3 linked regions of the Cricetulus griseus genome follow. The protein of the gene in region 2 purifies or fractionates together with the protein of the main gene of each other region. This does not show direct contact. Links are inferred from orthologs where the notes say so. Each region holds a gene or a part of one and is shown on either strand. Other genes may lie near its edges.

What was found.
Region 1: the proteins of Srp9 (region 2) and Larp7 purify together in Homo sapiens (affinity purification with mass spectrometry; 3 studies listed by BioGRID and IntAct, with this or other methods). This does not show direct contact. The link is inferred for Cricetulus griseus from reciprocal best matches to the Homo sapiens genes SRP9 and LARP7.
Region 3: the proteins of Srp9 (region 2) and Srp54 purify together in Homo sapiens (co-immunoprecipitation; 4 studies listed by BioGRID and IntAct, counting the BioPlex papers as one, with this or other methods). This does not show direct contact. The link is inferred for Cricetulus griseus from reciprocal best matches to the Homo sapiens genes SRP9 and SRP54.

What each region holds. Positions count from the first base shown.
Region 1 is NW_023276806.1:31,277,390-31,280,889, forward strand, and holds part of Larp7 (la-related protein 7), read left to right. Parts: coding exon 1-137; intron 138-220; coding exon 221-314; intron 315-391; coding exon 392-748; intron 749-828; coding exon 829-976; intron 977-2,513; coding exon 2,514-2,665; intron 2,666-3,344; coding exon 3,345-3,463; intron 3,464-3,500. UniProt on the Homo sapiens protein: RNA-binding protein that specifically binds distinct small nuclear RNA (snRNAs) and regulates their processing and function.
Region 2 is NC_048598.1:12,258,631-12,264,255, reverse strand, and holds the start of Srp9 (signal recognition particle 9 kDa protein), read left to right. Parts: upstream 1-2,052; 5' UTR 2,053-2,155; coding exon 2,156-2,227; intron 2,228-5,625. UniProt on the Homo sapiens protein: Component of the signal recognition particle (SRP) complex, a ribonucleoprotein complex that mediates the cotranslational targeting of secretory and membrane proteins to the endoplasmic reticulum (ER).
Region 3 is NC_048598.1:147,159,152-147,162,651, reverse strand, and holds part of Srp54 (signal recognition particle 54 kDa protein), read left to right. Parts: intron 1-239; coding exon 240-337; intron 338-2,093; coding exon 2,094-2,300; 3' UTR 2,301-3,500. UniProt on the Homo sapiens protein: Component of the signal recognition particle (SRP) complex, a ribonucleoprotein complex that mediates the cotranslational targeting of secretory and membrane proteins to the endoplasmic reticulum (ER).

The sequences.
Region 1 (3,500 bases), on a different chromosome or scaffold from region 2:
GCTGGATTGAAAGAGTATTTGGGAAATGTGGCAACGTGGTTTATATAAGTATTCCACATTACAAGTCTACTGGGGATCCTAAGGGATTTGCCTTTGTGGAGTTTGAAACAAAAGAACAAGCAGCAAAAGCCATTGAGGTACGTCTGTAGAACCCTGAAAATTAAAAAGAAAAAGATTAGTATGAATAAGTTTGCCATGATTTTTCCAATTTTCATTTCAGTTTCTTAACAACCCACCAGAAGAGGCACCAAGAAAACCTGGCATATTTCCTAAGACAGTGAAAAACAAACCCATCCCTTCCTTAAGAGTAGCTGGTGAGTACCCACCTAATTCTTAGGAGGTAAATATTGAATTGGTAGAATATAAAATTATTTGAACATTGCTGTTACAGAAGAGAAAAAGAAGAAGAAAAAGAAAAAAGGGAGAATAAAGAAGGAAGACAGTATGCAGGCCAAAGAGTTAAATATGGAGGACACAAGCGGCATGGGTGTGTGTAAAGGCAAGAGACCAAGGACTGCCTCTGAGGGCTCTGAAGCAGAAACTCCTGAAGCTCCAAAGCAACCTGCAAAGAAGAAGAAAAAACGGGAGAAGACTGAGCCGTCTGTCTTACCTGAAGTTAGAGCAGGGAAAAGGGAAAGAAGCAGTGCTGAGGATGAAGACTGCCAGACCCCCAGGCCAAAAGCCAAGAAGAGGGCGCAGAAAGATGGCATTAGCCAAGCCGCTTCTGAAATCTCCAAGGAAAGCAGAGGTACCATGTTGAAAACAGTGCAAACATTTTAGGTACTTCGCAAAGCACACAACTTGTCTTATGGCAAATCTTTTTTCTAGACTTAGAATTCTGCTCTACAGAGGAGGAGAAGGAGACAGGAGATAGAAAAGGTGACTCACTCCTAAAAGTAAAAAGAAAGCATAAGAAAAAACACAAGGAGAGACATAAAATGGGAGAAGAGGTTATACCGTTGAGAGTGCTGTCCAAGTAAGTACCAATTTTCAGTAGCAGTTGACAGAACTCCATCACCATTGCTAAAGTGCAATTCCAATTTCTATTTAACAGAGTTGCATATTAGCAACAGTGACGGCCTACGGTCCTTTGGCAATATAAAGATGATAAGTAGGAGCCACCACACTCAAACATGAAAGCACTTATTTTTATAAGGTCACAGCAAGTGCCTCCATGTTAAAGTAAAGGAGGCTCCTTAAGCAGCAATCAGTTAAGTCCTCTTAAAGGCTTGAGAATGGAAAAGGAAAGCTTACCATCACCAAAACATGGGAGCACTTACTTTCTTAATCCCAAAGCAAGTACATCCACGTTTAAGTAATGGGGAGCCCAGTCTTTACATTTACTAAGTTCTAGTCCTTAAAATGTAACATTTTTAAATTAAGGAAATGCTGAATGGGTTGAGACACCTCCACTGAAACATGGAAGCACTTACTTTAATTTAACACAGCAGGTATCCCCATGTTAAAGCAGAAGGGACTCCCAACGGGTTAGCTTATCAATGCTAAAGGTGTACATTGAATTCACTTCTACTAAAACTTGGAAGCACTTACTCTTTTTACAGTGAGACAGAAAGCACTCCCATGTTAAAGTTGAAGGGAACCCACCCACAAGGCAACTTCTTTGTAAAGCTAGGGTAACCTAGGAGGAAATTAAATGACAAATTACCTTTGTGAACTGGATCCCAAAGAATCTCCTTCTCTGCTTGGAGGGTAAAACACAGTGACTTTAGACCACTTGTATTTATACTACTCCTAACTCCTGAATTCCTTTTGGCGTCTTTATCTCAGAGAATCATTACAAGAGCCTTTGTTATTTTAATGTATCAGCATCAGCTCTCAGGGAAAGTAGATCCTGGGGATCCTGGGTAGGTCTGGATTTTTTTTTTTTTTTTTTTTTGAAGTAAACAGATGTCAATGTTAACTGCTAAAACCATTACCACAAGATACCCTTCTCTTTAAAAAAAAAAAAAAAAAAAAAAAACTCCTATCTGCTTGTTTGATGGCACAGATTAGGGTAACAATGAGCACTCCCACTGAGCCAGGAGATGCATTGTGCTTCTCTCTGGAGGAGCCCTGGCTGTTTGAAGAGACATCTACATGGTAAATGTATGTAAATAAATAAATTGCTACCATGGGGTGTTTTTTTCTTCTTAGAAATTCTTTTGATTCAAGTAAATCCTAAGGAATGTTATCTCTCAAATTGGAAGCAATTTAACAAATCTTTGAATTTTAGTTTCTCACTTTACCCCAAAGTTGCCTTATTTTGCTTTTACAATTAAAAATTTTAGAAACATATCAGGAACTTAACTGGGAAATTAAAGCATTTTACCTGAATATTTATGAAAAGGAACTTCATTTGTTTGTTTGCTAGATAGATTTACAGCCTAAAAACTAATTGAGTGCACCTTTTTAAAAGAAATGGGAATTTTTATGAACGTCTATTTCATTCACCTTCAGATTTCTCAATGAGTCATCTGGTCACTATTTCAGTAGTTCAATTTTTTGTTTTACAGGACTGAATGGATGGATTTGAAAAAAGAGTATTTGGCACTACAAAAAGCCAGTATGGCTTCTCTAAAAAAAACAATATCTCAAATAAAATTGGAGTCAGAAATGGAAACCGACTGTACAGTGCCCAACAAGTCTGGAGTGAAGAATGGAAAAGGTGAAGCTCACTTTCATAGCATTTAGTGTTATACTACACTGTGGACCCTGGGTGTAGGAGTGATAGACTGGATTCCCCAGTTTTGAACTGAACCATTACCAGAAAAAAAAAAATTTAAAGAAAGAAAAAAATTGAAGTGTTCATATTAAACAGTAGGCTTTTTAAGAGCCTGCTTACTCTCCATTACCAGCAAGTTACTCATGAGTGACTGGGCATAGTAATAAAGACTGCAGTTTTAGTAGAAGATGAACCCAGAACAGGGACATATTAGAGAATTATTATTGATTGTAACATTAGTAAAGGCTTTTTAGTTATAAATATTTTTATTTATTGTAGTTCATTTATTTATTTTACATCCCAGCCATAGCCTCCCCTCCATTCTCCTTTCCCAGTCCCTCCTCCCTATTCCCCAAATTATTACATTTGAATAGTATATTTTGAATATCCTTATATTTCTATTGACATCTATCTTTATTTGAATTTTATTCTTTGGTTCAGGGCAATAATGCATTTTATTTCCTATTAATTTCCAAATGAGCAGTTTGATGCATTAATATTAACATTACACAAGTTCTTTAAAGTCTGAGAAATCACTCCTGCTGTTGTAGAGTAGCTAGTGCTGCTCTGTTAAAGGTCAGGAGTGAGAAAATTTTTATCTGTAGCCTTTTCCTTTTCACAGTCAGCCATCCAGAATGCTGCACCCAGGAGAAGGTTAACAACCAAGGCCCACAATTCGTGAATGGAGTTATTGTGAAGATCATGAGCACAGAGCCTCTACCTGGCAGGAAACAAGTCAGGGTAATGTTTATGATGCCTGTGTAAAAACAAAACAAGA
Region 2 (5,625 bases):
ATTTAAACCCTGTCAAATCAGCATCGCAGTAAGATTTGGCATTAGGGTTATAAGATTTAAACTTTGGCAAGATTTTCTTTTTCTAATTTTGGTTTTTGAAGACAGGGTTTCACCAAGTAACAGCTCTGGCTGTCCTGGAACTCTGTAGACCAGGCTGGCCTCGAACTCACAGATATGCCAGCCTCTGCCTCCTGAGTGCTATTATTAAAGGTGTGTGCCACCACCGCCCAGGGTCAAGGTTTTATAGTAAGCTCCGAAGTCTGCTTTTGTTGATTCTGCCATGAAGAGATAAGCAACTGAGCATTATTAGGACTCCAAAGTTTGGATTAAATGCCCAGTGCTACTCTATGCCCTTTCACTCATTTGCATGGGCAAAAGAGGGCTTAGTAAGATCAGGGGAGAGAATGCGGGACCAATCTAAGACATCTGGGGCACCAGGGGGTGAATATGATCAAAATGCAGTAATAAAACCTGTTATTATGTATACTACTAAAATGTTAAAACTCCTCTTCCCGGAGGGTCATTCACTGGACTTTGTCTCTTTTGCTTCTGTTCTTTATGGCTCCCACTGCCCAACATATAAGTCCCTTGCACTAATCAAGGATGTGGGCTCCTGCCTCAGAGCCTTCTTAGGCATCTAATCCCTTTCGTATTCATGTGTGACTTTGCGTTTGTATAGATGACTCAACTAACACCCAGCCTTTCTTGGAACCTGGAACATAAAACCCTAACCTTTGAGCAGGTCTTCAAATATCACACCACACCCCACCCCAGCCATTAGATTGATTGCAGATTTCCTTGATGTCTCTTGCTAGGACTATCGTCATTCTTATTATTTGCTATTTATTTGATAGGTAGCCCAGTTTGGCCTTGGGTTCACCAAATAGCCTGGGCTGTCCTCAAACTCATGACATAAAGATTTGTATATGTTGGTGGCACAGTCCCAGCTACTCAAGAGGTTGAGGCAGAGAGAGAGATTCTGTTTCAAACAAACAAATGAACAACAAAAAAAAAAAAAAGAAGGAAGAAAAGGAGGAGGGGAGGCAAGATAGGAGAAAGTCGTCGGTGTTATAACTGAGTGGAAGGGACCTTGCCTAGCATGTGCCATCCCCAGCACTGCAAACCCAAAACAAAACCAAAAACCACGTTCACGGGAAAGGGGGAAGCAGTTTATAGGAAAAGAAAGCATATTCGTGGGACCAGGAGTGAGGAGAGAGGAAATGGATAGAAGGAAGCATGAAGGAGATTTCTGGAGGTGAAAAATGTCCCATACATTGGTTATGACATTAGGCGTGGGTTGCGATGTGTGTATGCACTCTTTCAAAATTCATGAGTGTATATTGTTAAAGACAGTGTTCACTGCACAGAAAAATATCCCAATAAAGTTTGTTTTTGGGTTTTTTTTTTTTTTTTTTTTTTTGGTTTTTCAAGACAGGGTTTCTCTGTGTAGCTTTGGAGCCTATCCTGGCACTCGCTCTGTAGTCCAGGCTGGCCTCGAACTCACAGAGATCCGCCTGCCTCTGCCTCCCGAGTGCTGGGATTAAAGGTGTGCACCACCACCGCCCGGCGCCCAGGCTCAAATTTCATATCCTAGCAGATGTCCGCTCCTTGCTTCTTCTCTTCCTCCCTTTCCTGAACACTGGTCATATTAAGCACACCGCGATCTAAAATGCGCTTAGGTGTTTCGCCCTTCTCTGCTTGCCTGCTTGGCTTGTAATATTTCTGCGAGCCTCTCTCCCCTCTTGGCTCCATTTCACCGATACAGAAGTCTATCACAGAAAGTTCTTGTTTGCACTCCTGTTTTGTCTCCCCAGCCCCTTAGGGGTTAGGATTAGGCTGTGAGCGTGACACCTGGACCTTATCATTACCCTTAACGTGGGTGCCCAGGCACCGCCCCTCCAGCCCTGCAGGTGGCGCTGTGGCAGCCGCATCCTCTCCGGGCTCCCGACTTCTCTTTGCGGAGGCCCCGCCCCCGGCGGCAACGCCTCCTGCCCATTGGGCCGGCGCGGCGGAGGCTGGCCAATGGCGCGGCCGCTGGTGGGCGTCCCCCTTCGTGCGGCCGGAGCGCTGCGCCGTGGGCGGTTGCAGGAGGGCGCGGGCTGCCGGTGAGACTGCGGTTTCCCTCCGTGGCCGCCGCCGCCGCCGCGCCGCCGCGATGCCTCAGTTCCAGACCTGGGAGGAGTTCAGCCGCGCGGCCGAGAAGCTCTACCTCGCCGACCCCATGAAGGTGAGTGGCGGGCGGCGGCCCCGAGGCGGGGTCTTCTCTGCCTCTGGCGCGGCGTCCGCACATCCCGGAAGCGGCGTCTGCCCTCGAGCCTCGGTGCGCCTCCCGTCGCCTTCCGTCGGCCTCGGGACCCAGCGAGGCTGCGGCCGTGTGCCCGGGCAGAGCCTCCTCCGCGGCGGGCCCTGCGGTGGCCTCACCCGCGGGAACTCCTGACTTCCGCAGTGGCTTTGGTCGGTGGACGTGTCGCTGAGGCTGGGGCTCCTCCCCCTGCACCTTCTCTTTCCTGTCCGTCACTTATTTCGGTGCCCCTGTCCCTTCCTGGAAAGGCGCGAGGGTTCCTGCTGTTTATAAAATGGAGCTAATGTTACACCGCCACTCAGCCTTGGAAGCACATTGGGGAGCACCTGCCCCCATTCCCCAGGGTGACGGGGATTCTTAGTCTTTTCTGTGGGTCAGTGGTCGTTTTCAAGTCTTAAGAGTGCATGCACTTACACCCCAGGCACAAGTGTTTGCAAATTGTTTCATTCTCCAAAGCGAATCTCCCCAGTTCAGAATAGGTCCTATGAGAGACACACACAGGTAAATGCCACTATTCCTTGAGGATTGTACGGTGTCCGAGTGTATTGTGAATGTACCCACTGGAGGAAAAAGAAAATGAGGAGCTGTTAACAGTAGACTCGGGGTCATTTCTAATGACCAGCATATAACACAAACTGTTTTTAAAGCTAGTTGTTAAGAGTTTGGGGAGATGCTCAGCATACAGAGTTCACATAAGGAGGTAAAGAAAGAACCGACTCCCCAAAGTTGTCCTCTAGACACACACACACACACACACACACACACACAGTGATAAGTAAAAAATTTTAAAAATACATTGGTGCTGGCAATTTTTTCAAGTTTGGTTGTTTGTTCGAGACAAGGTTTCTCTGTGTAGCCCTGGCTGTCCTGGAAATTGCTCTGTAGGCCAGACTGGCCTTGAACTCAGAGATCCTACCTCTGCCTCCCAAGTGCTGGGATTAAAGGCATGCACCACCACCATCTGGCTGGTGCTGGCAACTTGTGACAGCAGAACTTACTACAACGGCCCCCCCCACCATCTTTTAAAAAGATTAATTCATTAACTTTTTAAAAAAAGATTTTATTTACTTATTTATTATGTATACAACATTCTGCTTCCATATACATCTGCACACCAGAAGAGGGCACCAGATATCATAACGGATGGTTGTGAGCCACCATGTGGTTGCTGGGAATTGAACTCAGGACCTCTGGAAGAGTAGCCTGTGCTCTTAACCGCTGAGCCATCTCTCCAGCTCCTAATTCATTAACTTTTATATGTACAGTGTTGTACAGTAGGTACATCCTGTTCATGCATGGTGCCTGCTGAGGTCAGAAGAGGGTATCTGGAGTTAGGGATAGTTGTGAGCCACCCATCATGTGAGTACTGGGAACCAAATTTGTGTCCAACTGCAGCAAGATAAGTTGCTGTTATAAATGGTCTTTGGTCCAAGAAGGGAATGGTGGTGCACACCTGTAAGCCCAGCATTCAGGAAGCTGAAGAAAGAAGAGGGAATTTGAGGTCGGATTAGGCTACACAATGAGATCCTGTCTGAAGGCGCAGTGGAGGAACCATAGGACCTGAATAGACAGTAGAACATTTTGATCCATTCTTGTTTATTTTTAAGACGTTCTCATCTCACGTAGCCCAGATTGGCCTCTTTAATTTACTGTGTAGCTGAGGATGATCTTAAAGTCTGGATCTTTCTAGTCTAACTTTTTTTTCTTTTTTTGCTTTCTGTATTTTTTGAGACGAGGTATTGCTTTGTTAAGCCCAAGTTGCCCTTGAATTGAAGGTCCTCTGCAGCAGCCTGAATGCTGGAATTATAGGTAAATACCACTATTCCTGACTTTTTGTGGTGCCATTTGTTCTAGTTTCGTTTCTGTAGCTGTGATGAAACACCTGACAAGCAGTACAGGGGAGGGAAAGGTTTCTTTGGCTTACTAAGTTAAAGGCACTTGAAACCACCATGTCCATAGTCCAAAGCAGAGAGAAAGAAACGGAACACCATGCTGCCTGCTGGCTTGTGCTCTCCTGAGTTCTTACTAGCTGGTTCTGCACAGACAGCTGAGGGCCCAGCCCACAGTTGATTGAATTTTCCCACCTCAGTGAAGCAGGCCTCCCCTACACGCCCACAGGCCAGCCTCATCAAGATAATCCTCTTCCAGCCTCCCTTCTAAGGTGATATTTAAAACTAATTATTCTGTTCCTCTTAAGTTGACGTAACAGTTCATCTGCTTTATGTAGAAAGTGATGATGAAGAGTGAAGTAAGTTGGATGCTTTTGAAATGGCGTCGCTTGGCAGTGCGGCCTCTGGTACTCCATCTGGGTCATCACCTTTCCCTTGTGTTGCCATTTGTTTGCCTTTTCTTCAGTTGAGCAACGTGCCTGATGATGGCAACAGTATACACTTTTTAATTTAGTAAAAGAATGGTAAAGAATATACCAGCACACAGAGTGTCTGTGACTGTATTTTTAAGAATACAGTAGTTGTAGGAAAAATGAAAATACAAGTGACAGAATTGTGGTGATGAAAACATGTTTAAAATAGACAGGAGAGGAGGAACCTTACATTTCCACCTAGGTAGAAAATTCTAGTGGCCTACAAACTTCTGCTTCCTTGTAGCCTTCTGTTAGTTTTTCACATTTTTTTGCCCAACTGGAGAGGGCTATAGAGCATGAACCATGTTCTGAGTTCCAAGATGGTGTTTGCTCTGAGAGCTTACAAACCCCAGTTCTGAACCTAGGCTCTCTGATCCATGTAGGGCTAAAGAAGACAGTTTGCCAGGTGTCTGAAATGTTTGCTAAGATTCTGCCCTCTCTCCCAGTGCATATAACATGGAGCCCATACATAGCTTCTCATCTTTACCACACTAACCTACCAGTGGACTGAAAAAGAGCCCTTAGTTGGGTCTAGCTTCCTTTTAGTCCCTCCTTCACATTTCTGCCACAGCTGCCTGAAAGTAGAGACACTGAAGTATCCTCTGCTTAAAACCAGCTCTTCAGATTACTGAGTAAAGTCCCAGCTCCCAGCCCACTGTCTTGACTCTGCTGTTCTGCCCGCCCCCCATAGTTCTCAGTTCTCGACTTGGTGAAGCCACAGAGTACATGGGATCTTTGTTCAGAACGCTGCTTGTGTTTTCTCCAGCCTTCTCGCCTTCTCTATAGGAAAGAAAACATGTATTTCTCAAAACTACCTCCTAAGAAAAGTGGCTCTTGCCCTTTCCCAGTGTAAACTTCTTTAGTATTTTTACCAGTACTTTTCTTTCTAGGACTTTTAGTTCATTCTGTTTTGTATCTGATCATTTTGGCTTGCTGAACTCAGAGTCCTTAAGTGGACAGG
Region 3 (3,500 bases), about 130 Mb from region 2:
TAGCTCACATCTAACACCAGCACTGTGGAAGCTGGTGGAGGATCTCTAAGAAGTACTCTGAGTAAGTTTGACACTGTTCTTCAACATGCAAAAATAGTAATGTCAACAGACTGGTGTCCAGGACGGAAGTGAGGAGACAGGGGGATAAATTTATTGGGTTTAAGGGTAAAACAATAACTCTTGTATTCTTAGTATTACGATTTATGGTACTGTATGTCTCTTAACTTTTGTATCTTTAGTGTGTGACTTTCTTGGAGAGAAGATTGCATCTGTTTTGGGCATCAGCACCCCAAAATACCAGTATGCCATTGATGAGTATTACCGGATGAAGAAGGAGGTGTGTCTCCTTTTCTCACTTTATTGATAGTTTGCCTGAGGCTTGATGAGCCCCACAGTGTGTGTGTGGACACTCTAGGAGCCCAAAAGGTAGCTCCTGTGGGTTTTTTTGTTTTTGTTTTGTTTTGTTTTGTTTTTTTGCAGTGTTAGGCATTAAACACAGGACCTTACACGTGCCAGAGGAGGGAATCCACCACTGAAGATAGCTTATTTAGTTTATTAAATTAACAGATTTTTAGAACTCTTCAAAATTCTGATTTCCTAAGGTAAATGTATAAAACCTATGCTAGGTTTTGTTTGTCAGTGCTAATAAGTGAGGCTTTTCATGTATATTAATTTGATCTTTATATACCGTTTGATATTGTCACTTTAAAAAATGAAGAATTATCACCCACCCTGTGTAAGTAATCAGGTAGTTACTGAGTTCCCCAAGCCTCAAATCCCTGTTGTCATGAAAACTGTATCTCCTCCTAGGGTTAGTGCATAAAATGCTCAGAACAGCACCTAGTGTACATTGGCAAGCACACAGTAAACCAGAGGGTTCAGTGAAACAGGAGCAGAGCAGGTCAGGTAAAGCCAAAAGAGGTATGAACACAGGATGTATGTTCACTCAGTAAGCAGCAAGCAGTTGTTGGAGGGCTATCCCTGGAGGTCAGCCTAGAAAGATCACCTTTATTCTGTTGTGTGGCTTCAAACATGTTTTTGTTTGTTTTGTTTTTTTTATATATACAGTGTTCTATTTGCATGTATGCCTGCACACCAGAAGAGGGCACCAGATCTCATTACAGATGGGTGTGAGCCACTGGGTGGTTGCTGGGTATTGAACTCAGGACCTCTTGAAGAGCAGGCAGTGCTCTTAACCTCTCTGAGCCATTTCTACAGCCCTCAAACATGTTTTCTGTTTTAAAACAAAAAACAAAACAAAAACCAACAAGAAAACACTGCGCCATGTTCGAGCCTCCTGAGCTTGTTCAGTCCACTTCAGAAGCTTCTGGAGTTTGTTCTATCTCAGGATAATCCTCCCAAGAGGTCACTCATTCTGTACTGACTTGTAAAAGGTGAAAGATTTATAGGATCTGAAGAGAAACCAGAGTATCTCTGTACTGACTTGTATCTCAGGGTCCAGATACAGTGCCACCTCCTCTATGAACTGAACAGTTTCTCGATGTGGTCTCTGTGCTGCCTCTCTCTGTATCTTAACTTCCATTTAGACTGCAAAGGTCTTGAGGGCAAGAACTGGATGATCTGTACCTTGATTAGATGCTTAGGGAAAAACTAACCATGCTATACCATCTAATGAATGAATCAGCCTGTTAACTAACTAGGATGACACCTTATAATTAAAGTGTCACAGTAGTTATACAAGTGTCATAGTTGCTAATTTGTTACTTTATTGGGTAAGTTAATTTAGCTAAGTAGTGCTGGGCCATCCACCTTTAACTATTTTACTTTGAGAATGGGAAAAGACAGTTTTGTTTTGGTGGTGGTAGTTCTTTCAATTCCCTCCCTCCCTCCCTCCCTCTCTCCCTCCCTGTGTGGTGCTAGGGATCAAACCTAGATCCTTATGTGTATATTAGACATGAACTTTACCACTGAGCTACACCCCCACCCCAGAAGTATTAGACATGACACTAAAGTTTGGTTTTTGAAGAAAAAGATGCTAATGAAAGAAGAAATTTGCTCCCTTTTGGACATTACTATTTTAACTACTGGCATTTCCAATTTTTCTTTTCTTTTTTTTTTTTTTTATTTTTAAGGAGGAAGAGGAAGAAGAAGAAAATAGGATGTCTGAAGAAGCAGAAAGACAGTACCAACAGAACAAGTTGCAGCCTGGTTCCATTGTACAGACAGATCAACCAGAAACGGTGGTGTCCAGTTCATTTGTGAACATAAATTTTGAAATGGAGGAAGACTGTGAAGTAATTAAGGAAAGCAAACAACAGCCAGCCTCTGTCCCCCCATAGAACGAAATGACTAAAAAGTGTCAAACCCTAAACGTCAATCAGGAACTTTTTACATTTTTGTTTAGTGGGACTTAAAACAGTTATTTATATTTTAAATTATTAAGGGAAAATCTTCATTCTTATGCTGTATCTATCACAGTCAGATCTAAAGTTGGGACGTTTTTATGATTAATTAGTGACCCCCCCCCCATGCTGGGGAGTAAAACCAGGACTTCTTTCACATACACTAACCAAGTACTCTATCACTAAGCTCCAGTGCTTTGATTTTAAAACAGTCTTTTATAAAACATAAGGACATTTAGCTAGGCATGATAACACACACTAGGGAGGCAGGGGCTGGCGGTACTGTGTCAATTCAATGCCCACCTGGTCAACATAGTAAGCTGCAGCCTAGCCAGTGAGATCCTGTTTCAACCCCAAAACTGAAAGCATTGTACATTAAAAGGGGAGTTAAATTGTTAAGATTTTTGGTTTTAGGGCATTTGTTTTAAAAAATAAAGGTAAGTATTGATTAGTCATCTTTGGAGCTGATAATCCTAATAGCTTCATGCCTTGCCTTCCTTGCATTTAACATACCTAACCAATACTTTTATACTAAGGATAGCTCAGATGGAAGCACTATGGATTTCCTTTTATTGAGAATATCTTATGGAAAGTGTTGAATGTTACTACTCTAAATATTAATATGGGCTTTCACTTTCACTACAAGTCACTCTTGTACTTTTCAGTAGCTAATAACTTGCTTTGATCACAAATTAACACTAGTTACTGAATTAATTTGTAGTTGTAGTCAGGTGTTGATCCCTAGTGGCTACCTACATGGCTGGCCCCTTGGATATATCATACGTACTCAGGCCTTTCTGCATCACAGGCAGAGTAGCTGGGAGATGAGGAATTGGTAACCATTTAGTTTTGTTCACCATTCTGAAGTCACAGCCTTAAGTTGGACAGTTGATATGAACCAGGTTTGGCCCTTTCTCTCCTTACTAGGTTATCCTAGTGTACTATGAATCTAATTTTAAGAAATATTCCTAAATATGTGTTCAGAACTTTGTCTGTATAGCTTTAATTTATAATCAAATGTGGATAAAGAGAAATGTGGACAATGTTTAGATGCTGATCTTTTAAAAGCCTCATAGCTTTGAGGAATTAACACTTACAAACTGGCCTTCTAAATAGCATGACACTTTCCCTCTTCAA